2 linked regions of the Mytilus edulis genome follow. The protein of the gene in region 2 interacts with the protein of the main gene of each other region in a pairwise test. Links are inferred from orthologs where the notes say so. Each region holds a gene or a part of one and is shown on either strand. Other genes may lie near its edges.

Evidence for each region.
Region 1: the proteins of elongation factor Tu-like (region 2) and elongation factor Ts, mitochondrial-like interact in a two-hybrid assay, tested with the Drosophila melanogaster proteins (2 studies listed by BioGRID). The link is inferred for Mytilus edulis from reciprocal best matches to the Drosophila melanogaster genes mEFTu2 and mEFTs.

What each region holds. Positions count from the first base shown.
Region 1 is NC_092357.1:70,779,363-70,786,727, forward strand, and holds the start of elongation factor Ts, mitochondrial-like, read right to left. Parts: upstream 3,091-7,365; 5' UTR 3,004-3,090; intron 1,388-3,003; 5' UTR 1,381-1,387; coding exon 1,228-1,380; intron 354-1,227; coding exon 225-353; intron 1-224. UniProt on the Drosophila melanogaster protein: Associates with the EF-Tu.GDP complex and induces the exchange of GDP to GTP. It remains bound to the aminoacyl-tRNA.EF-Tu.GTP complex up to the GTP hydrolysis stage on the ribosome.
Region 2 is NW_027268536.1:62,343-68,639, reverse strand, and holds elongation factor Tu-like, read left to right. Parts: upstream 1-4,225; 5' UTR 4,226-4,263; coding exon 4,264-5,679; 3' UTR 5,680-5,725; downstream 5,726-6,297.

The sequences.
Region 1 (7,365 bases), on a different chromosome or scaffold from region 2:
TCTAAAAATTATGTTTTTAACCCCGCCACATTTTTGTTTGTGGTCCAGCTGGAGCACGTCTCCAGGTGCAGGAGTTCCTGCTGGATTGAAGACCCATTGGTGGCCTTCCACTGTTGTCTGTTGTCTGTTCTTTGGACAGGTTGTTGTCTCTATTTGACACATCCCCCTTTCCCATTCTCAATTTTATATCTACAGAGACAGTGAGCTGAGGGTGGACATCTTACCTCTACCATAGTCACATGACTTTTATCATAAATTAAACCAACAAGTCCCTGAGCCATTTTCCTGTTCTGTAACTTTGTTGCTTTTGCCCATCCTTCTTTCTTTGCCTCTTCTTGTAACCATTTCTCTGCCTGTTAAATATCAACATATTCATGTTTATTTATACCAGATTTGTAATAGAGGAAAAAATATGAAGAAAGGGAATTTTATTTGTTTTACTTGATACTCAGAGTCAGAACCCTTTTCTCTTTTAATGATTTTGACATTCATGACATTTGTCCAAAACATTACTAATACATGTACAATATGATGTATAAACCTCTGACAAACAATGAAATATAAAAGTTTGATCAAAATTTGACAAATTGCAAGAACATAATTACAATATGATTATTATTTACAAACAGTATATATTTTAATAATATAAACTCTCATTTGAATGGCAATGATTTCTAAACTTGGCCTAGACATTCCAGATATAAACCTCTGGTATAACATAAGTAATTGTTATAAGTTTGATTAACATTTAAAAAGAACAGGATGGACATTAGATGTGTGCAGAGATGCATAGACATGATAGAGGGATTGGCACTCCCATTTTTCTCTTTTTTCCCCACAACCTGTGATGCATTCAGAGTACCATTAATCCTGTTAATAATATTAATATTTTATATTACTGTGAATTCAGAAATTATTGCGAGGTTTTTATTATTGCAAAAAATGCGACAGAGTTGTAAACGCATTAATTTAAACTCGCATTTTGAAATATTTTATATGAATTAAACAAGATTTTTCTCAAAATCGTTAAAATTAAAATTGCATTTAAGTCTCAAATCACAAAATCGCAGTAATAAATGCACGCAATAATTTCTGAATTTACAGTATATACATGATCATGATGATATATGTAAAGTTACACATACATTGTAGCAAGGAAAATCTCAAGTCTGTGTCCACATGTTAAAGACCCAATGTACCATTTAAATACAAACTGGACAAAATTACCTGTTCAACATTATTATCAAACTTCACTAAAGCTTTCTTGCAGTTAATGAAAGCAATTCCTGTCTTTTTCCTTAATTTACTGAGGGCAGCTTTATCTACTTGTGTACTGTAACATCTCATTAATCCTGTCCATCTGATAGCATGCTTTAACATTCTGTAACTATAAATATAAAGTATTAAAGCTTTATCAACCTGAGTACTATAAATCTCATTAATCCTGTCCATCTGATAGCATGCTTCAACATTCTGTAACTATATAAATATAAAGACTTTCTCAACATGTGCATGATGTGTCACATCTTATTAATTCACTCCACCTATAGCTATTCACAGCATTCTTACTGGTGTTTCACAAAGTAAAGAATAAGCCTAATTCTCATATACCATGTATACTGTAAATTCAGAAATTATTGTGATGTTTTTATTATTGCAAAAAATGGGACAGCATTATCATCGCAATAATTAAAACTTGCATTTTGATTTTTTTTTCTTTGAATCAATTAGGATTTTTCTAAATATCACAAAAATAAAAATCTTATTTTAGTCTAAAAGGACAAAATCTCAATAATAATTGCCCGCAATAATTTCTGAATTTACAGTATCAATTATTCATTATTTTTTGGGGTGTAGGATCTATTTAGAATGAAACAACTTGGGACAGAATGACTTTGGCCTATTACGAATGATTTGGATAATAGAAAAAGGTGTGTAATAAACCATTTTGTAGATAATTTAATGAAGGTTTAGTACATAACAATTTTCAATGGGACATGTGCATCATGTGCATGGGATAGATAACCACAAAAGTCAAAATGAAAATGTTCTTGTTATTATAGTATACATGGTATACGGTTAAGTTCGCCACCAGTACTTGTGATGTGTGAGTCTTGTGTACCCTATATGTGCTTATCACGGTCATCTAGTCCAAATAATTATGACGTCTTGAAAGGCTATTTAATTTGTAGACAAATTCGTAAGACGTTGAAGCTAAAAACTAAATTTACCTTTCAAGACGTCATAATTATTTGGACTATGCAGTAACTAACAACTTATTGGGTTATTTGCATGTTGATACTGTAAAATATCAGCTGTGAGTCACAGTATGAAGCTTCAGGTCAAACTTATCCATGTCTGCTCAAACATTTTGAAGTCGCAGATATGATGTCCAGTTCAAATTTATTAAGGCCAGGTCAATATATTAAACGTTACAAAGCCTTGATATGCAATTTATTAAGAGCTGAGCAGATTGAACAGAGGGACTACATATAATCATGCTTATCGCCAAATTCCCTTATATATCGTCATGCATGTTTAGTTTAATCTAGTCCAAATAATTATGAACTAATCATGGTCATGTAAGGCTATTTTAATTTATTCTGTGATGACTTCCAACTTAATTTCAATAGCCTTTCAAGACTCTAATGTATGTAATGGTAAATTCCTTCGATATCCAAAACCCCTAGAGAGCTGCCAAGGTACGGTGGAATCCATTTACACTCCCTATCGGGATTAATGCAGATGTGTCACTAACGTATTTACAATGTTTAACATTTACAAGGACAATCCCCAACCCAACACCAGTGTGTTTTAGTACACCGGGTAGTAAACTTGTAAATACAACATAACAAATCATGAAATACTGAAAATAGGAAAAACTGTTAATTTGGGAACTCGTTTGGTGACAAAAACATCACAAATCATAATATAGGACAATGATTTGAGAATGCATATTTTCGTTTTGATCAGATACAGAGCAGGTTACATAAATTTCACAACCTTGAGAGAACGTGCAACTATTGGGGACGTTAGTGATGAGGGGATGAGATGAGTATTCTATTGCAAGTTATTTGAAAGTACTAAAAGGTATGCTACAGCTCCGAACCCACATTATATTATCCACGCTTTTCATACTCGCTATAAACGCACATCTTGTCAATTCCATGGGTTTAGCATGACGATTGTGTTGAAAATTGCTTAGAAGTAAAATCTAGACATGTAAGATCAGCATATCTTTATCATTTTATAATGAAGATGTTTTGCTTTAATTTAATATATGCAACCAAGGATGGATTTGTATAGTATATTTACTATACAAATCCTTGATGCAACCTAATTTTTGTTTTTGTTCTTTTCTTAATTGTTCATGAACATTAACAATGTGTTAACTGTTGATATTTATAGCCTTTTTCTTCTTCGCTGTGAATACCACTGTCACTCTAATATAATTATAATCAATTTAACTATTGTCAGTTTATTGTCTTAATTTTGTATGCCATAACTATTTAATGTAAATGTGTTTGTGCGAATAAAATATTGACTATTGTCTATTGTCTATTTAATTTATAGAATCCAGTCAGCAAGGTTCAAAATATTAAAGGGAAATTCCGCGATTTTTTACTTATCATTTAATTATGTTCATCTTAACATAAAAAAACACATTTGCAAAGTTTTAAATTTATATTCCTTCTAATAACGGAGAAAATCAAGTATTTGTAACTTTTTTGGTTGAATTCTCGAGTGGGTCGTGACGTATTAGCCCGATTTATTGAATTCTGGGAAAAAATAAAATCTGTTTAACTCTTATAGCTTATCGACAATATACGTAATTAAAAGCGCACAGCTGACGAATGGTCGAAGTTGTAAACCACAATATAAGAATGAACGAAAGTGAATATGCATATATATACCGTTTTGTATTGATTGAATTAAACTCCTATAAAATTATCTCTAGTAAATGTTTTTGAATAAATTTAATTAATTATTGTTGAGATTTTTTTCATAAAATATTTATTGAACATTTTTACTGATATTGAACTAAAAATATTTCAGTTCTATTTACCGTTATTGTTTTGATAATCATTTCAATGCAACTAATGTGTGAGCAGAGTGTGTATATTATTTTGTAAAGGTCACTGTATATGTCTCGGCTTGAGGTCAATTCGTTTACCTTGTAGCTATTTAGCCGCAGGTGTGAGTTCAAGCGTACACAGGTATAAATGTTGTTATTTGGAAAGGATAAATACACGGCCGACACTCGGCTAACCGAGAGATTGGTCAGTTAATCTATATTGAGTATGCGGCTATATCGGCAGTGGGTCTGTTAATCGGGTTGGCTAAAGGCTGTTAATCAGGTATTATCGAGAAAATCATTGAAAACTCAGAATGTTTCATTGTATAACCTTTTAAATATATGTTTATCATAAAAAATATTTATGTCTGACAAAACTATTCAATGTACTGAATCCATAGGTGTAATTATTATTTTTCTAGCTTCTATGTACGATCTATAAAATGAAAAGGCAAATTACTCATCAGTAAATTTATACACATTTTACACACACAAAATGTACACAAAATGACACTTGGGTTGAATTTACTTGCATGCACTATTTTGAACATCGAAAAAAGACAGGCATTATGAGTGTTAACCAAATTGATATCATTTTGTGAAAACTCTACACGAAAATCTGTATTTTGGTGACATAAATCAATCTTTATTAAAAACCTGGTCTGTTAATGGGTCGGATGTATAAAACCCGGTCTGTTAATTAGTCTGTTAAGAGTTATGAATGACAATAAAAGTATAATTTTATTACTTTATGGTGTGTTCATTTGGTAGGCTCAAGACGAGCGGCTAAAATATACGGAAACAACACTTGAGCAATGGAACATAAAATATATACGGAAACAAAACATGAGCAATGGAATATAAAATATACGGAACAAAACACATGAACAATAACAATGTAGGCAATGGATATTGAAAATTGATAAAAATGGTTTCAAAAAGTGTTAAATTAAAGTAAAATTGATTTTATCCGAGAATGGTCGCATATATCATGTGGATTCTGTTTAATTGTCATTAATGACACCAATGTGTCATCTACATTGGTAACCAGTATATAAATCAGAGATTAACGTCGTAATGTAACTAAACATCAGTATATTGGGATGCCTAAATATAAAGAATAGAGAAGAATAATGGGTAAGATAAATAAAATGTAGAGAAAAGTAACATAACCATTTAAAGAATACAGAAATAAACAACACCCCCCAATCCGTACCCTCATGGTATACACGAGAATCTGGATGGAGATACAGAATACAAAATAAAAGATAAGGACAGTAGAGAGTGATGCATTGCTAAAAAAGAGAAGAAAACAAATTGTTTAAGAATAAAGACATGAAACCCCCTGGGTGTTGAAACAGTAACGGATTGCGATGTACTCATATTGGTGACAAATGCTTGACGTTTACATGTGGACACCTGCAGTTCTCCTCTGCACATATGTAGAAAAGGAACTAAACGGAATAAAATGAATTAAATTTTAATACAACCAAATGTAGCTGCATTCGCTCCTTTCCATTTATTTCTTTAGAATGATTTGTAAACAACAGATGATTAAGTAATACAAGAAAGAAAAACAATTGGATGATGCTGAGGAATTAGGATTAAGGTGGTACCGAACACTTTTACTAAAATCAATGTGGTTCGTTTAATTTGAATAAAATTTTGACAAAGTATTTAATTTGAACCTTTAACAGAAATATAAAAATTTCAAAAAATTTGAACCAACCGTTTTGTCAGAAAAATTTAAAACTGGTTATATAGCAGTTTGACAAACACCAATTTTGATCTTCGAGAAGCTTATTATTCCCTTTACAACACAACGTAATAAAACGTATCACTGACTTTACAGAGTTATCTCCCTGTAATGTTGGGTACCACCTAAACGTCCAGTGACAAATGTCATGTGCATATGAAAACGACAACACGTTATATATGTACCCTGTGTTGTATTAGGAAGACACGTTCAATCGGATTTGAGAACATGCTACTTTGAGCAGACACAAAAATTAAGGCTGATTGAAATCGTTAATAATAAATTCATGCATATTCCAGCGACCAACCCAGATCACGCTATATTGAAGTGACATACTCTTGAGTAAAATGAAAAGAAAGTCAAAATAAAAATGCTTTTACTGGAAGGATAGTGTTGCATCGTATTATTATTTTTTGTCGAGCCTTCGACTTTAGTCGAAAAAGCGAGACTAAGCGATCCTACATTCCGTCGTCGTCGGTGTGTCGTCGTCGGCGGCGTCCACAAATATTCACTCTGTGGTTAAAGTTTTTGAAATTTTAATAACTTTCTTGAACTATACTGGATTTCTAACAACCTTGGACAGAAGCTTGTTTATGATCATATTAAGATAGTATCCAGAAGTAAATTTTGTAAAAATAAAATTCCATTTTTTCCGTATTTTACTTATAAATCATGGACTTAGTTTGTTCTGCGTGGAAACATTACATTCACTCTGTGGTTAAAGTTTTTAAAGTTTTAATAACTTTCTTAAACTATCCTTAGTTTGTACCAAACATGGACAGAAGTTTGTTTATGATCATAAGATAGTATCGAGAAGTAAATCCATTTTTTTCCGTATTTTACTTTTGAATGGAATTAGTTTTTCTGCGGGGAAACATTACATTCACTCTGTGGTTAAAGTTTTTAAAAAATTATTAACTTTCTTAAACTATCCTGGGTTTGTACCAAACTTGGACAGAAGCTTATTTATGATCATAAGATAGTATCCAGAAGTAAATATTGTAAAAAGATAACTCCATTTATTCTGTATTTTACTTTTAAATGGACTTAGATTTTCTTCCAGTTAACATTACATACAGTCTGCAGTTAAAGTTTTCAAAACATTTATTAGATTCATTCACTATCCTAAATTTTTACTAAACTTGGACAGAAGCTTCTTACAATCATAAGATAGTATCAAGAGGAATATTTTTTATTGTTTTTTTCCCTCATTTTTGTTGAGCCTGCGATTTACAGCAAAAGTAGGCGAGACACTGGGTTCCGCGGAACCCTTACAATATTTTTTTTTACTCAAGAACATCTCATTTTAAACATTTTCAATGGGAAAATATAAAGGTAGCACAACTATTTTCGTGGCTAAATAACTCTTAACTGACACAATTTCAATTGTCCAACCCATTAACAGACTTTATTCACATAATATTCACTAAAACGTGGTATTACTCACGTTATATTACAATTATGAAATATTTACTAATGTCAATTTATATTTAAGAACCAAAGTAGTATTTTGTGTCTTTTAATTGATATCTAA
Region 2 (6,297 bases):
TACAAAAACTTGTGTAAATCGTTACGCTGAACTTTGTCCAAATTAGATTTTTCAAACAGAAAATTCGCAATAAAATCCGTGATTTCACTGTTAAACGTGTTGTTGTTCTCGGATTGTACAGTAAAATCAAGCCTAACCGGGTAACTTTTACTGTTTACACTATTTGTATCGTTTATCAAATTCACGTTTTGAACGCAATGATCTGTAGTATCGTTGAACGGAAGAAGCGAGTGTTCAGATGTAATTTCGTCAAACATAGCTAATGTTTTTCCTTTATACAAGTCAATACTACAACTGTTTGGATTTAATATTTTAATTGGAATAAGTCTACCTTTTGACACAGAAACGACTCCTTTAGAAATAACCAATCCTCTAGATACAATATATTTACTAGACGTACAAATTCCTTGTTTTCCATAATAAATATTTGACGGAACTTTTCCCCATATAATTGTCTCTGTATGTGGTAAAATCGTTGTCCTTTTTGTACAATATACATTTGATGTTTTTGGAACAGCGGACATTTCACTAAAATCAATCACCATTTTATTCGCAATTAAATAGTTTGTTCCCAAAATAATAGGATGTGATGGCATTTTCAAAATATAAGTAAAAACACGATGATTGGCTCTTGAAATATTCATTTGTACGTAAGCCGTACCAACAACTTCAATCTTTTGACTGTTAGCTAAAACAATGGACTCACGAACATCTGCATTAAAATCTGACTTCTTACTATACGGCAACGAATCATAAAGTTGTTCTGAAATAATGTTCACTGAACTTCCTGTATCAATCAATGCAGAAACTTTCAAAGAATCAAAACGAACAGTTAAATATAAAAATGTAGAGTCCGAAGAAATGAAGGAATCAGTACCAGAATCATTTTCGGATGACGTAATTACATCATTTTCACCAGTATACAATGTCATATTCTCAACACAAAAATCTTTATTTACATTCATACATTTATTTACACGAGATCTAGATCTACTCCGAATTCTTGAAGCACTTATGGACGGTCTCCTAGGGGAGCGTGCTGTGTGGCCCCCAGGAGGAAAGAGTTTCCCTTCTGAAGTTGACCGCATTCTTTTGCCGAATGTCCCGTCTGTCTGCATATTTGGCATTGCATGTTAGTGTCATTGTGTTGAACTGTTTGTCCGAAAATAAAACACTGCAAAGCAACATGTCCATTTTGAGAGCATAATTGGCATATGTTTTGAGGAGAGAGATTTCCCGTACCGTTCCAATTACAATTTCTTTTGAAGTGTCCTGTTGCATTACATTTATAGCAGGGCAAATTTCGACGTGGTGCGCTTGGATATGTGTTGTGAGAAAAATTATTGTTGCCCATAGGTGGTTTTACATTGTAGTCTGTTTGTTTTTGTGTTTTCATATCATTCATGAGATCGGTCAGCTGATTCATTTGAGATCTTAAACTCGAAATTTCGGATTGGCTTGTTGAAATATTTCGTGCGGCGGCAACTGTATTTTCACATTCCCTGTATTTATACGCCTCGCCTGTTTTCGCTAGTGTTAATGCGTCTGATGCATCTTTTGGTTTACTTGCGCGGACATAAAATGCAAGTTTGTCAGGCAACCCATCAACAAATTTTGACATGACTTCGTGTTCAGGTTTGGAAAGCAAGTCCGCTTTTTCTACGAGCTGACAATAAAAATCTTCAATCTCTTGTCCAGGGTTTAATTTCAAACTATTGAATAACTGATTTTCAATAACGACGGATGGATTTTCCCAGTTGAATTTAACATATTTAGCGTTAAAAAGTTCTTTAATTGTTTGCCAGTCTAAACCAGAAGTTAGTCCGTTGTACCATGTTAGCGCGGGGCCCTGAAGATGGAGGTGAAATGCTGCTAGAATTTTGGCATCATCAAGCTCATGGAGAGTGGCAAAGGATTCAAATTCTTTTATAAATTTTGAGCCATTGTCTTTGGGGTATCCGGAAAACTTTTTACAGGAGGCTAATTTGTCCATAATGTTTTTCTTTGGTGGTTTGCTTTTATTGGGTTGATCGTTCAAAGAATTAGGTAAATCATTGAAGGCAGGTATATTTGCGGAATCATGGTTTATCGATGTTGTAAGGTATGTGTTTACAAAAGTATTGTCTAGAATTGTTATATCTCGATACGAAGGGTTTATGTACAAGTCTTCCTCACTGTCACTGTACCTTACTTTATCATCATCCCAATCGTAATACATCGAAATTATAATAATCAGTTCAAAGTCTACCAATGATTTTCCATAGGCTATGTACGCAAGAAAATGCAATACTTCCACGTGTCCGACCGCATGGCCGCCTTCCCACTGGGGTTAATTTCACAGGATCGTGCTTAAATAGATGTTGTTTTGTTATAAGTAATGTGTTTGAATGTTCTTACTAACAACCGGGTTCCTCCACCATTTTATGTTGCAATCTGGCATAAATAATATAACTATTTCAAGATAATAATGTTCTATTTTTCCAAAACACATCTACATGGTATCATAACAATAAATCAAGAGAACAACATAAACTAACATATCATACAAATACGGAATGCAATCCGCATGAATACACCAAAGACTGGTTAAGGAGAGATAACTCTCATAAAAGTATGTTAACTTTACCAAACGACTTGCCATACCAAACTGACATATAACATTATGTGTAGTTCCTGTTTGGAGTGGCAAAAGTTATCTTGTGCTAGATTAAAACAACTTCTAAAGGCAAAGAATTGGTTTTGTAACAATTGCAAATGTTAAATCCTTTTGAAATTCGTAGCAAACAACTTTTTATATTGTCTTTTTTATGATGTGCGTAGTTTTACATAACACCATTGTTATCGTATGGCAGGATATTTAAACCATAGATTTTACACAGATTTGAACATCTACTTTTTAGCTCACCTGACCTGAAAGGTCAAGTGAGCTTTCAGTCTCATCACTTTGCGTCTGTCGTCCGTCTACTGGGCCAAATTTACCAGAACTTTGCCACAATCATCATTATGGTATCTAGAATTTAAATTTAAAAAAATGTGTCAACCAACCAAGATGGCAGCCATGGCTTAAAATAGTTCATAGGGGTAAAATGTAGATTTAGCTTATATCTCTGAAACCAAAGAGTTAAGAGCAAATCTGACGTGGGGTAAAATTGTTTATCAGGTCAAGATCTATCTGCTATATACCTTCACTGCGAAATGGTGCAACTCCCTTGCTTTCTGTTTTCTGATGTTTGATGCATGTCCAGAAACGTTTCATACTACTAATTGGTTGTTTTCCTCCTTAGGTGTTACGATGTTCTCATTGTAGTTCCAATATGAACGACAGAGCTCTCTTTGTACCATTCGATTTGTTTCTTTAAGTTTGGATGTTATTGCAAGATCAGCTGACGTTTTATGTTTTTTGTACAATCTGTCACGGCGTTTTATTAGTTTGCGTACTGATGGTGTGAGCCAAGGCAGGCTGTCTTTTTGTTTTTCGGTTTTGTGCGGGATGTGATTTGCCACACGTACTCTGGTTTAAGTTAATCTTAAAGACTAACCAGAGCTCCTCGGTTGAACTGCAGTTTGCAGCTGGTTCTTTGATCTTTCGATGGTGTTTTCATGCTTTTAATTAATATTATTAAGTTATAAAGCTATAAATTATTTATTTATATGAACATCTTCAATATTTTATTTTTGATTGTACTGTATTTGAATGCTTGATATTGTGATAAAATGATTTTAAATTATTATTAAGCTTTTTTATTCTCTACTAACATGACTAGTCACACCAATGAACAATTTTATTCAGTGCCAGCTAAATAGAAAATTTGCTATTTTGCCGGTGCCGGTCAAATAGCAAATTTGCTATTTAGCCGGTGCCGATCAAATAGCCACTGCCTAAAAATTAAGTACATGGGAAATTGCAAAGTTTACGAAGTCTAGTCTGATTAATCATTTTACAAAAAAAAAAGAATACCTCTACGCCCCCTCTGATTCCGCCACTGCCATGGAAATCTGAAGTATACCCAAATATTTTTCAACGCCCTCTTAATTTCCTCCCACCCCTTTCAGATTATAAATGACCTGTCACTTACGAAACTTCTCATTCTTAATTATAACAAAAGCACCGAAAATCGTTAGTTCAGAGCATTTAATATATATCGGACGACATCATATCTATATTGATGGTTGCCCTCATTACAGGAGTCAATTCATAGAAGAATTACAACACAAATTATTTTCGTTTCATCCCCAGTCCGCATAAACTCCAAAAATACAACCATGTCGAACGTAGTTCGCCGAGCATTTCTTTACAGTATTCGTACATTATATAAACAATCACTAATTAATTTTACGTCAAATTACCCGAGAAATCTTCTAACCACCAGGAATTATACGAAAAAAAATGACGAAGCTGAAACTCCAGGGAAACCGCATTGTAATGTTGGTACAATAGGTCACATTGACCATGGCAAGACAACATTAACAGCAGCTATTACAAAAGTTTTGTCCGATTACGGTAAAGCAAAATTTGTGCAGTTTGAGGATATTGACAAAGCAGAGTTAGAAAGAAAACGTGGTATAACAATAAATACATGTCATGTTGGTTATGAAACCGACCTTCGTCATTATGCACACACTGATTGTCCGGGTCACATTGATTACATTAAGAACATGATTAATGGCACCTCTCAAATGGACGGGGCAATACTTGTCGTTGCTGCATCAGAAGGCACAATGCCACAAACTAGAGAGCATGTGTTATTAGCAAAACAGATAGGAATAAATAAATTAGTAGTTTTCTTGAACAAAATTGACTTGGTTGATGATGAACTTGCAGAGCTCGTTGAACTTGAGGTTAGGGAATTACTTGAAGAATATGGATATGATTCAGAAAATACTCCAGTTGTCAGGGGTTCAGCATTGAAAGCTTTGAAAGGGGATAAATCTGGACATGATTCTATATTAAAACTGATGGAAGCTGTAGATAAATACATTGATATTCCATTTCGTGATTTATCAAAACCATTTATTTTACCAGTTGAACATGTGTTTTCAGCCAGAGGAAGAGGAACAGTAGCAGTTGGGACACTCAGAGATGGAATTATAAAGAAAGGACAGCAAGCTCAAATACTTGGAGAAGGAGTAACACATAAAACAGCGGTATCTGATATTGAAGTTTTCAAAAAATCTGTAACAGAATGCCAAGCGGGAGATAATGTTGGTGTTCTCATGAGAGGTATCAAAAGTAATATTGTAACAAGAGGAATGTTTTTATGTGAACCAAATGCATTTTCTCAGCATGATGCTTTTGAGGCAAAAATTTATGTGCTAACACGTGCTGAAGGAGGACGGACAAAACCGATCACTGACAAGTACATGCAGTTACTGTATACCAATTATTTTACAGTACAATCTTGCATATTAGTACCAGAGGAGACAAAAATGATTATGCCTGGTGAAGTTGTAAATATAACAATGTTGGCTAGAAAGTCCATGGTTTTTGAAGTTGGGACAAGATTTACAGTAAGAGAGCTACAAAGGACAACTGTGACAGGGGTAGTTACAAAGTTGCTGCCAAGAACTGATATAGAAATTATTGGTTTCAATAAGCAAAATATGAAAACAACTTATGTAATTGAAAGTGGAAACCAAACTGTTAGATCGAAACGATTAGCTAGAAAATCAAAGAATTAGTTTTACAAATGTAGTTCAGTTATTAAATGTTTTATCATGCCTATAATTATTGAATCATTGTTTTGAGAAATAAAATTTTGGGTTAATATAAAAGGAGATGTAGCAATGTGTGGTATTATTGCCAAAGAGATATTTATACACCAGAGTTCAAAGCAATTATTGGCAACCAAACTCATTACTGCCTTCAGCAATGAGAAAAACCCATACTATAAAGACATATAAACATGATAAAAGCACATGAAAATTGTGACACAATTCAAACCTTAAAACTAAGGGCCTAATTATATACATTTTTTTAATCTATAACAAAACAATTTTCTAAAAACAAATAGGACAGACATTAACCAACAACAACCAACGAACTACATGCTTCTGACTTGGGACTGTGAGGCACATGATATAAACCTGAATAATGTGGTGGTATTTAACATGTTTGTGAGTGCTTCAACCCGGCCCTCTTACCTCAGACTTTGGTGTAATATAATACAACAAATACCTTTTATCACACTTTTTCATTTATGTTATCAATAAAGTGATATGAACTACATTTTGTACATGTACATGATGTATGTATATCATAACATGTAATGGTATACTGGAAATTTTTTCCTTGCATTT